Rattus norvegicus: one gene and its partners. The protein of the gene in region 3 purifies or fractionates together with the protein of the main gene of each other region. This does not show direct contact. Links are inferred from orthologs where the notes say so. Each region holds a gene or a part of one and is shown on either strand. Other genes may lie near its edges. The genes, in order: Ago1, Phlpp1 and Fkbp5.

Region 1 (3,647 bases), on a different chromosome or scaffold from region 3:
ATTTAAAACTTTCCCAGAAGACAGCACATCAACCACTGGGGTAATGGGATTTACATCACAGGTAATGTTTGTCTCTGGGTTTTGTTTTTTTTTTTTTCCTGTAGAATAAGATATAAAAATTCTCAGGTTACTCATTATCCCTAACTGCAGACCGCAGGAAAGAGAAATTAAGAGATAGCATGTATGTGAGTATCTGAAATCTCTGCCCTGACCATGTGCAAAAAACCCCAATACTATATAATAAGGCTGGGGATGTAGCTCAGTTGGCAAAGGGCTTGCCTAGCATACATAAAACTTTGGGTTCAATCCCCAATACCCCATAAATGCACGTGGTAGTGTATGCCTACAATCTCTAACCCTGGAAGGAGACAGGAGGATCAGAAGTTCAATGTTATCCCTGTCTAAATGTGAGTTCAAGGCCAGCCTGGGCTGGAGACATGTCTCAACCAACCAGTAAGCCAGCCAGCCAGCCAGCCAGCTAGCCAGCTAGCCAGCCAGCCAGTCAGCCAGTCAGTCAGCCAGCCAGCCAGCCAGTCAGTCAGCCAGCCAACCACTCACACAAACAAACAAACAAACAAACAAACAAACAAACAAACACAGCTTGCCCTTTTGCCTAGGAGTCCTGGAAGAAGATAAAAATAAAGGCAGGGATAAGAACAGAATTTAGGGGTTGGGGATTTAGCTCAGTGGTAGAGCGCTTGCCTAGGAAGCGCAAGGCCCTGGGTTCGGTCCCCAGCTCCAAAAAAAAGAACCAAAAAAAAAAAAAAAAAAGAACAGAATTTAGCCAGTAGGAAGTCTAGACTTCATACAAAAACAACCTTAAAGCTTTCTAGAACATCAACTTCTCAAACTTGAAAATGAGGAAAGGAGACTGTGACCGGCTCAAGAGACGTCCAGGACCAGTGTCGGCCAAGCCGTACTCTCTGGCAGGCAGCCTTACCTCGAGGGGCAAATAGGTATGCTTCTGCTCTTGCCCAACTTGCAGGCAGGGCAGGTGAGGATACTTGAGCTGAAGGTTGTATTTCTGCTTGAAATATTGTGCCACGGTGCACTCCACGGTCTGTCCGCTCTCCAGCTGCAAGGGAAACCTGTTTGGAGGAAGGGAAGGAAGCATCATAATTCAGTGTCAACCCCACCTCTCCACAGCCACAACCAAAGACCGCCTCAGGCCTCTCATCGTGGCTGCTCTCAGAAAGGCAATTGCTACAAGGCTTCACTGGAAAGCCTGAAGATGACAGAGCCGTTCCAAAAGGCCAACCCATCTCCCTCCTCTGTACTTCTAAAGCCCGAGTGGATGCCTACTAAAGGTAAGAGTCCAGCATAGCCTGGGATGAAGAAAGGGGACCACAGTATTTCATCAGGACAGACCCAACAGTAGTCGGTGGACCACTCACTCGTGTTTTACAGTAAAGGTCCAAGGAAGAAACTAAGAGATTAAGAAGGGAAAAGGGGTTGGGGATTTAGCTCAGTGGTAGAGCGCTTGCCTAGCAAGCACAAGGCCCTGGGTTCGGTCCCCAGCTCCGAGAAAAAAAAAAAAAAAGAAAAAAAAAGTCATGGAGAGACATGATCTGGGGAGGTCGAGGAAAGGATGTTTATCTTCAGAGATAGACTAGAAAAGTCTTATTCTGACAACACAGACGTTAAGTGGGTCAGACAGCTTAGCCGTGCGCTAGGTTGACCCTGCGTAGCGGTGCTGCCGACTTACGTCTGATGGCTAGCAGGGCGACGGGTAACATTACACACGCGGTATTTCCTCTTCATCTGTCCACAGTGGGTCACTTCCACCTTCAGGCCTGAGAGACACACACTGCTTGTTAAGGTGGGAACAGACTGCTCAGTTCCCTCACTGGCCTTCCCCAGAGGGATTCCCTCTTAGGGTTAGAGAAAGTGGCGCTTTCTCTTCCCCGTTTGGGTGGTGGGTCCTCACCCTTTATCTCCTTGGTAAACCGAACGCGCTGGGAATCCGTGAGGGGCTTGGGCTGTTCATCTATGTTCCTGATGTCCAGGACCTCACACATGAACTCAATCACTGGCTGTGCTTTGTAGAAGGCAGTGGCTGAGACTGTAGGGACAGGGGAGGGACAGCTTGGCTCAGACACTTTCAGGAAAGAATAAGTGGAGGCATTATGATTTGTACTCTCCTCTTTGCAGGGCACCGGGACAGGGACAGGGCGCCAGGGCTACAGGAATTAGACTGTGGTTGCAGAGCTGGGAGGGATGAGGCTGGGAGTGTGGTCACTGGATTTAGGGTGCCCCTGGCTCCATAGCTCTCCCCACTCACCATCAATGTTGAGCATCATCTTCCACATGGCAGGGCGCACAGACTGGTGAAAGCCGAACCAGACCTCGCGCCCACCCCCCAGCGGGTGGTAGTAGCCCTCAGGCGGTGAGAAGAAGGAGCGGCCCACAGGGGTGTACCTGGCAGGGACAGGCAGAGAACTGGTCCCTCGGGCACAGGCCCCCACCCTGTGAGGCATCCTGGGCACGGAGGAGCCCTGGCCTGGAAGGCAGGACACCAGGGCTTTAATGCCAGCTCTGTTCTTGGGCCAATAGTTAAGACTGACCTTGTTTAAGTTTCTACCTTTCTCTCTGCCCTGTAGGGATAGATGGAGTGAGGCCAAAATGGTATCTAAGGATGGGGCCGGGGGTCTAACCATCTAAACATGTGTATATATACTTGCCTCACACATGCATGGTAGGCCTTCAGTTCTTTTTTTTCCCTGAGGGACCTTAAGACACACTCACTCCCTCCTCCCCCAACAGCAGTTTTACCAACACTCGTAGCTTAGATAATAACTATACTCAGTACCTCATAGATGCCAGATGCCTCATGGCCACATCCAGGGCTTGCACGGACTCCAAGGGCACAGGGATCTGGCCACTGACCAAGGCTTCATGCAGCATGCGCCAGCTCACGATGGCTAGCCACTTGATGGAGACCTTAAAAATTCTATCCTTCCCTTCCCCAGGGATGGTCACCTCAAAGTCAACCTTCAAGATGGGAAGAAGAAAAGGGTGACGATCACATTTCTACAGATTAGTCTTCCTGTCCTACTCACTGTCTCCCACTCCACAATCTGCCAAAGCCAAGCCAACAGGGGCTCACACTGAAAACCCCCGAATAAAGACCCACACCCTGATTTCCACAGATGATGCTGCAGTGCTTCTGGCCCCCTTAATCTAGAAGGAAATCCTTTGAGTCTTTTTTTTTTTGAAGTCTAATCTAATTTCATTATTGGGGACAGGCACACAGTACACTAAGTGTCTACCCTGATTCATTATGGCCCCAAAATATACTTTTCAGCACAAAATAAAAGGATCTCTGGATCACTAGGTGGGCCTCCCTGGGCTTATAGGGCTAGCCTCAGCCCTGGCCTTACCCTCTCATTGCCAATAGGCAGTGCTGTAACTGTGTAAATGTTCTTCTTTCCATCGTACACAGGCTTGCGATCCCCAAAGATCTGCGGTTTGAAATGCTGGACCATGTACTCCACCACCTCCCTGCAAAGCACAGACGTGGCACGTGGAAGCTGAGGCTGTCACTCTGGCTTTTGGAAACAGCTCAAAATTGAGGCAACATCCCGTGTACCACACTCATGTTTAAGGTCTACTCCGTGGCAATACACCTCAAGCTTCCAACATTCCTA
Region 2 (3,747 bases), on a different chromosome or scaffold from region 3:
AGACTCCAGGCAAGGGAGAAACTGACTGGTCACCCCTGGACAAGCACTTGAACAGATACTAAAATACTGCTAGAGTTCAGGTCACATCAGAGGCAGTAATCACCGACATTACTAAGTCTAGTCTGTTTCAAGTCCTGTCGCAGTTCTGACAATAAAGGCTGCAAGACAGAAGCAGGCCAACTCATCTTTTATGCAAGATTCAAACTTGGAAAGTGAAATAAAGTAATTAAAAACGCCGAAGGTGAGCAACACTCAAAACAACAAACATACACACACACTTCTCGGGTGTCTACAAGAACTCAGTGAGCAAAGAAGCGTGGCAGACGGTGGAACAGGAGCATCAGTTGACAAGAGCACAGCCCCAGAGGCCCACACACACTGCCTTGTCTATGAATGGTAAACTGTGGACAGCTGAATAGGGAAGGCATCATGGAACACTTTCCGTTGGTCATTGTCCTCTGTCTATATTAATGTGTTACCTGGAATCCCAAACCGCCTGCAACCCAACGAGAGCAGAGGCCTGGAGGAAACCACCTTTACAGTTAAGGACCCGTACCCCTCTTAGGTGTTTCCTGTATTTCCAGGTGACTTTGCCACCTCGTCCACCCGGCTTTCCAACCTCAGACCTGGACACTAAAAAGTGCAGATTTAAAGAATACTGAATTTAGTACTTGCACAAACAGCATGTGAACCAGCTAGAAAAGACTGCCAGACTCACCAGGCCCCTCGAATCATTTATCGGTCCGGGCCAGGGTTCGAAGCCGCTATACAGAAACATGCATGCAACTTCCTTACCTGCATAGAATCGGATGAGGCAGCCAATCTCCGAATCCATGCCTTCCTCCTGCACCCTCCACAGCTCCCCAAATCCCAGTTGGAAGAGGTAGTCATTTTGGATCTGCAATGGCTTCTCGTCCGCCTCCAGGCGCCGGGTAGTCTCCCCATGGAGCTGTACATACAGGGAGGGCGGAGAAGACGTCTTTTGCACGGTCTCCCGGATCCTCCCTGGAGTCCACAGAGGAACGCCTGGAGCTGCAGCTGCCACCGCCTTGTCGTCTCCGGGACCTTCGCCCACCACTAGGCCAGTGCCGTCTACGCCCGTCGGGGCTTTCGGCTGCAGTAACGCCGAGGTCTTCGGGGAAGGCGGTCGAGGCTGTGAGGAGCGGACTGGGTGGTGGGGCGGCCCGGAAGGCCCCGTCAAGACCGTGGCCGGGTCAGCTTCTAGTTCCTCGGACGAAGAGGAGGAGCCGCCGCCGCTGCTATAGGGGTCCAGCCGGTCTGACACGCTCTCGGCGCTGGGGCTCAGGCTGAAGCTCTCGGTGTCGGAGGCCGGGCGCGGGGCGCGGGACGGGGAACAGGGGCCGCCCGCGAACAGCTCTCCGGGGCTGGAGTCCGAGGGCGCAGGGTTGACCCGAGGTGCACAGCGCGTCCAGGCGCCCCCGGGCAGCGGCAGATCGGCAGGAGGCGCGCGCGCAGGGCCCCGGACAGCACCGACCGTGCTGCTCGAGGGCGGTGGCTCCACGTCTCTTCCGAGCTCTGTGGCCGGGGTCTGATCGCTGGCGGCCGGGGCAGCGGCCGGAGGTGGCCCGTGGCCCAGCACCTTCACCACCCCGCCGCCTTTGTGGCCCAGCTGCAGAAGCCGGGCGGCCACCTCGGCGGCTGTGGTGTCCAGCGTGCAGAGCACTGGGCGCAGGTAGGACGAGGCCATGTGGCGGTCAAAGACGTGCACACAGCCCCGCTGGAGCTGGTGCCTCACCCAGTCCCGGTCCGACGGCTGCAGCTGAAGCAGCTGCCGGTGCTTCTGGAGCAGCGTCTTCCTGTCCAGACTCCGGGTGCACAGCGACGCCGAGGCCGAGCAGGACGCCGGGAGGCCGCCAGCGGCCGAAGACGCCGAGGACGGCGATGAGGACGACGAAGCGGCGGCCGACAGATTCCTCTTCAGCCGCCCTCTCCTCAGCAGCAGCGAGTTGGCGCCGCCGCCGGCCGCGGTCACCGGGGCGGCCCCGCCGGCCGCGGGCTGGGGCACCCCGCGCCGACGCCTGCGTCCGGTGCCTCCCGCGCGGCCGGGCAGCGGCCCCGGCGGCGCCTCGCAGGGGGCCTCCTCTCGCGCCGCGCCGCCGTTCCCGCCGCTCGGGGCCGCCGCGCTCAGCACAGAATCCGGACTCCGTCCGCCCTCGGCCGCCGCCGCCGCCGCCGGGGCTCGGTCCTCACCCGTGGGGTCCGCGAGTCGCTGTGCCGGGGCTGCGGCGGCGGGCTCCATCGTAGCGGGGTTTCACGTCGCCCCCCCAGCTCCGGAGGCAGCGGAGGAGGAGGAGGTGAGGCGAAGGTGGGAGACGGCGGCGGCAGCGGCGCGCGGAGAACGGAGACGCCGATGGCGTTCGGCGCGGCTGTTCCAGAGGATTATGTGGCGATCCGGAGCATTCCGTCGGTGTCTCGGTGTTCCATCCCGCGCGCCGCCCGCCCGTTTCGCCGCCACCGCCCCCCCCACACACACCCTCCCCGCTGGTCCGGGGCTCCCCAGCGCCAGGCCCCGCCCGCTGCCCGTCAGCCTGAGCTCCCCGGAGCTGCGGCCCGACCTCACTCATGAATATTAATGAAGCGCGGGAAGGCGGGCGGTGGCGGGGCGGAGTTGCTCATGAATATGCATCGTTAGCATGACGACATTTCTGGGGAGAGCGGGAGGCTGGGGGCGGGGCCTCAGGGTAAACAAACGTGACGCGTGCGTATGGGGGTGGGGCAGAACTGTTTCCCAGGAGGTTTGTCCTCGCCATAGACGAGAGCTGGCGAGAGGGGCTCGCGTTGCACAGTGGGGGTTGTAGTTCATCTCCTGGGCGAGCCTCCAATGGAGACCAATAGCGAACTACAAGACCCAGATATCGTCAGATTCTGCCCTCCCTCTCTTCCAGCTTCTGGCCCTAGCTAGTGGGTATTGTGCCCTCTGCTGTTGAACTCTGTGTCCTGTGAACGTTTTTCATTAACTCGCTTCTCTACCGTTTGCCAGATGAGTTTTATTTTCCTGGCTAATTGAGATTGAGAGCTTTCAGGGACTCTAAACTCTAGGTAAGGCCTTTGAATGAGACAAAAATACACAGTTCACAGGATCGCTGGCCCGGTCTTCCTTTTTCCGCACTTTTTTCATGGTCCATGAAAACTAGCAGTGTTTGGAAATTCTTCTTTAGAAGATAGTTGAACGTGCTTCCTGTAAAGCACTCAAATTAAGCCCATCTACTCCCTCCCATATTAGGACAGAAATAGCTAAGGACTTGGGGCCTTGTATCCTGTTGGTAAAAGCTTACATAACAGAAAACAGTAGACGAAGGGAGAAATATTAGAATGGAGACATTGTGGGACTTGCTTTCTCTTAGTCCTTTCAGGATTTTTCTTTCCACACTCGGGGCTGGGTAGAGGGTGAATGAGACAAGGTTTCTCGGTATAGTCTGATCTCCATACTTCCTCAAACTGCTCACCACCTAGGCTTTAACTATGTTGTGTGAGTTCTTACTGTTGCAATGTATGATCTATAAACTTACTTTTTATTGGTTGAAACAAGCTGGTTTGAGGCAATTAACTATTTGAAATATTTGATAAACGTCGTGCATTGAGTTGCCACCCTCATAGTAGCTTTACATAGGTAGATACTCACTTTCGAGGCTTTGGGTTACATACTATCCAGAGCCTGCCTTAATTTTAGAAAACTTTGGTAGGAGAGAGAGAACTGAAATTCCTATCAAGGCAGCTTGGTTTTAG
Region 3 (3,647 bases):
GTGGAGAGAGACACTCAACAGCTTTCTCTTATGACTCTTAGGATTATTATGAACCTTATAATAAAAACAGACATGGACACTCTTCCTGTGAGGGTCAGTGAAGTAAATCCCCACGATTCACAGAATGGTCCTTAAGGGGTTGAGTCTTTTTACACCAAGCACAGTGAGGGAGAGCCACAGAACATACTCAACTGATGTGGAAAGAGTCCTGGTTCTACATGGTAACTATGTCCCACCTTTCTCTAGTTAGTTCTTATAGTACTTTGCATTCTGGGGTTGTGTATTATATAAGTGTGTGCATGCATCTGATGTATCTGTGTATGTGTACACACACACACACACACACACACACACACACACACACACCAGAGGACAGGTGTTTTTTCTTTTACTCTCTATTTTCTTTTGAGGTCTTACAACATATAAAATGTCTTTTTTGCCATTTCACATTTATTTTTTGTTGTTCTTAAAAAATGTACTACTGGGCTAGAGAGATGGCTCAGTGGTTAAGAACACTGGCCACAGGTCCTGAGTTTAATTCCCAGCACCCACATGGTGGCTCACAACCATCTGTAATGGGATCTGATGCCCTCTTTTGGTGGACAGCTACAGTGTTTTCATATACATAAAATAAATCAATAAATCTTTAAAAAAATACATATTATTACGTTGGTGTCTGCACATGTACTGTACGAATGTTATTCCACTTGTCATGCACTTGTGTAGGAGTGTGGAAGAGGCCAGAGTTCTTCTCTTTCCCACGTAGGTCCTAGGAATCAAAGTCATCAGGCTGGGTAGCACGTGCCTTTCCAGTGAGCTATCTTCACAGTACTGTTCTGAGACAGAACCTGTTATCCCAGGGCAGCCTTGAACTCTCACTTTTCTGTCTTTGCCTCCTAAATACCAAGACCATGGCATTGATCCCTGTGGTTCTTTGAATAAGGATGGCCAACAGGCTTATATATCTGAACACTTCATCACCAGGGAATGGAACTGTTTCAAAGAATTAGAAGGACTAGGGATCAGGAAGTGTGGCTTGTTGGAGGAAGTGTGTCACTGGGGGGAGGCTGTGTGGCCCAGTGGTAGTGTTTGCCTAGCATGCACAATGCCCTGGGTTCAATCCCCAGCGCTCTCTCCCTGTCTACTCTTAGACCCAGAACCTGGGTAAAGAGGGCCACCGATGAAGACTGTTATCAACACTGTGAGCAGTTTTGTATAAAGTGCAAGACAAAGGTAGCCACAGAAAGCCCCATCCTAGCAAGCGCAAGGCCCTGGGTTTGGTCCCCAGCTCCGAAAAAAAGAAAAGAAAAGAAAAGAAAAAAAAAAAAAAAAAAAAAAAAAGAAAGCCCCATCCTCTAGGGTGTCCTGGTTCATGCTGACCATAAAGAACCTGATGGGAGCAGAGGTGGCACATGGACGGAGGTGCCCACCCACCTTGTCACAGCACTCGACAGCTTTGGTGTACTCTCTGAGCTTCAGGTAGCACATGGCCAGGTTGAGGAAGGCTGCGAGCAGGAAGGACTCCGAAGCTTTGGACTCCTTTTCTGACAAGCCGTACTCCATCTCCAGCCAGGACACTATCTTCCCGTACTGAATCACGGCCTGCATGTACTTGCCTCCCTAGGAGAAAAAAAGAGTGGCTTGTATCACTGTGGAGAGGATCCACTGATGTGAGTGTGGCCTGCCTCAGCCGGGTCCTCACATGAAGAGGCCTGCACACCAGCCCCATTCTGTCTCCTGCCTCTCCTTAGTTCTGGGGAAGCCCTGCTGGCCTGTGAGGTGGCCTGGACCAGGTTAACAGCAGAGCAGGCATTCTTTCAGCCTGACAGCAGGAGGTTGCGCCGGGGAGCCAACATTCCTCAGTCTTCCAAAGGATGGTGAGCTGTTTGGCTTATCAGACAGGAGGTGACTTGGTGCGATGGGTGGCGTCCCCATCGCAGCACTGACAGTAAACACTGGACTATGGTAGCTGGCATCCCCACACCGCAGGCCTGGGCTGTCTAAAGCAGGCTGTGCAAGTGCTCGGCTCCCAGGAGCCGTGGAGAGCAGCAGTCAGCATAGGCAGACTTCAGAGCTGGGCTGTCCCCTGGCACCATGTTATCAAAGGTGGGTGGGGCCAGAGCACCCTGTGTTGACCCATGGCAGTGGGAACACACATAGGCTGTTGGTAGCACACAGTGCACACAACCTTGGAGAGCAAACTCGATGTGTGAGGAACTGTTCTACCTTTCTCTGTTCCACCAGCCTCCTCTGCTGCACCAAGGCCTCCCTCATGCACACTAAGCAAGCACGATACCTGCCATCGCTCTCTCCAGGCCTTTATTTCATGCAGAAAAGGCCTTGCTACACTGTGAAGTCTAGTGCCAAACTTATGGTCCGTCTTCCTGTCTCCTCAGCATCCAGGGCAGTGGTTCCCAACCCACCAAATGTTGCGACCCTTTAATACAGTTTTTCATGTTGTGGTGACCCCTAAATTATTTTTGTTGCCACCTCATAACTGTAATCTTGCTAGTGCTATGAATCATAGTGTAAATACCTGATGTGCAGGGTATCGGATACGTGACCCCTGTGAACTGCTGTTTCAGAGTAACCAGACTCCACACATGCTCCTGCTGATTAGTGAGTTCTGACAGCGGTGAACAACTGAATAGTGCACATGGCGCTCGCCCTGAACAACAAGCTGTGTGGAGACAGTGTGCTTGCCGCTCCAGTGACCACTGCATGGTGGGTGGCAACTTGTGAGCCCAGAGAAAACCGGGGTAGAGGTGAGGGCTCTTCTCTGCAGCAGATTACCAGCCTGAGGACAGACAGGATGGCATAAGGGCAGCCAGACCTGAGTGCACTCAGGATGGGAGGCCAGGACACTGCAGAGCTCTCCCCACAATTCTCCAGCCCTCAAAACCAACCAGCCAGCTCAGCCACACTTCCTTCCCAAGGAGCACTAGGGGGCGCAAGATGTCCGCACACAGCAGAGCGGCCCTAGCCTTGTGGTGTGTGGTGACACCGCTACCAGTGCTTGACTCTCAGAACTGGATGGGGACAGTGCTCTCCTGCACTGCAGAGCGTTCAGAGGTGGAAAGGACCTCGCTCAGTCCCTCTGCCCGCTCAGTCCCTCTGCCCACAGCTGGAAGCCAGACAGGCAGGGGAATGAAGAGCGCAGACATACAGAGCTGGAGCCCAGGCGGCTCTGCAGTCACCCGCACTCTGCATGTGGCAAATGTCACATCAGACACCCTGGGAAGATGACGCTGGACAGAGCAGTGCAACAAAAGAAAGGCGTCTCAAGCTTTGAAGGGAGACGGAACGTGGACCGACGACAGCCCTCCCCCTCTGAAGCTGGCATGAGGCCCCTCACCTAGGATGAGGAAGGTGCCTCCAGGAAGTGCTCAGTGGGACACAAAGTTCTGGGCTAAGCCTTAGGTCAGTGGTTTTGAACCTTTCATTAATTTTTTTCCCCAACAGACTGATGTTTTGAAAGAGCTTGTCTATCGAATTACATGTTAAAAATAATGCGTTCCATATGTGTGATGACGGATGATCCAGATTTTACCCAGATTGGTCATTTTAGGAAGATTGGAAGCATGCTGAAACATACACATTGCCCCTGTAACACTTCCAGCGACCCAGGCGAGTGATCTCAGTGACAA

What was found.
Region 1: the proteins of Fkbp5 (region 3) and Ago1 purify together in Homo sapiens (affinity purification with mass spectrometry; 6 studies listed by BioGRID and IntAct, with this or other methods). This does not show direct contact. The link is inferred for Rattus norvegicus from reciprocal best matches to the Homo sapiens genes FKBP5 and AGO1.
Region 2: the proteins of Fkbp5 (region 3) and Phlpp1 purify together in Homo sapiens (affinity purification with mass spectrometry; 4 studies listed by BioGRID and IntAct, with this or other methods). This does not show direct contact. The link is inferred for Rattus norvegicus from reciprocal best matches to the Homo sapiens genes FKBP5 and PHLPP1.

What each region holds. Positions count from the first base shown.
Region 1 is NC_086023.1:144,031,496-144,035,142, forward strand, and holds part of Ago1 (protein argonaute-1), read right to left. Parts: intron 3,502-3,647; coding exon 3,381-3,501; intron 2,992-3,380; coding exon 2,810-2,991; intron 2,501-2,809; exon of another isoform or gene 2,478-2,500; coding exon of another isoform or gene 2,419-2,477; coding exon 2,282-2,418; intron 2,063-2,281; coding exon 1,928-2,062; intron 1,794-1,927; coding exon 1,706-1,793; intron 1,089-1,705; coding exon 941-1,088; intron 1-940.
Region 2 is NC_086031.1:22,821,894-22,825,640, reverse strand, and holds the start of Phlpp1 (PH domain leucine-rich repeat protein phosphatase 1), read right to left. Parts: upstream 2,510-3,747; 5' UTR 2,261-2,509; coding exon 796-2,260; intron 1-795. UniProt on the Homo sapiens protein: Protein phosphatase involved in regulation of Akt and PKC signaling.
Region 3 is NC_086038.1:6,463,467-6,467,113, forward strand, and holds part of Fkbp5 (peptidyl-prolyl cis-trans isomerase FKBP5), read right to left. Parts: intron 1,621-3,647; coding exon 1,435-1,620; intron 1-1,434. UniProt on the Homo sapiens protein: Immunophilin protein with PPIase and co-chaperone activities. Component of unligated steroid receptors heterocomplexes through interaction with heat-shock protein 90 (HSP90).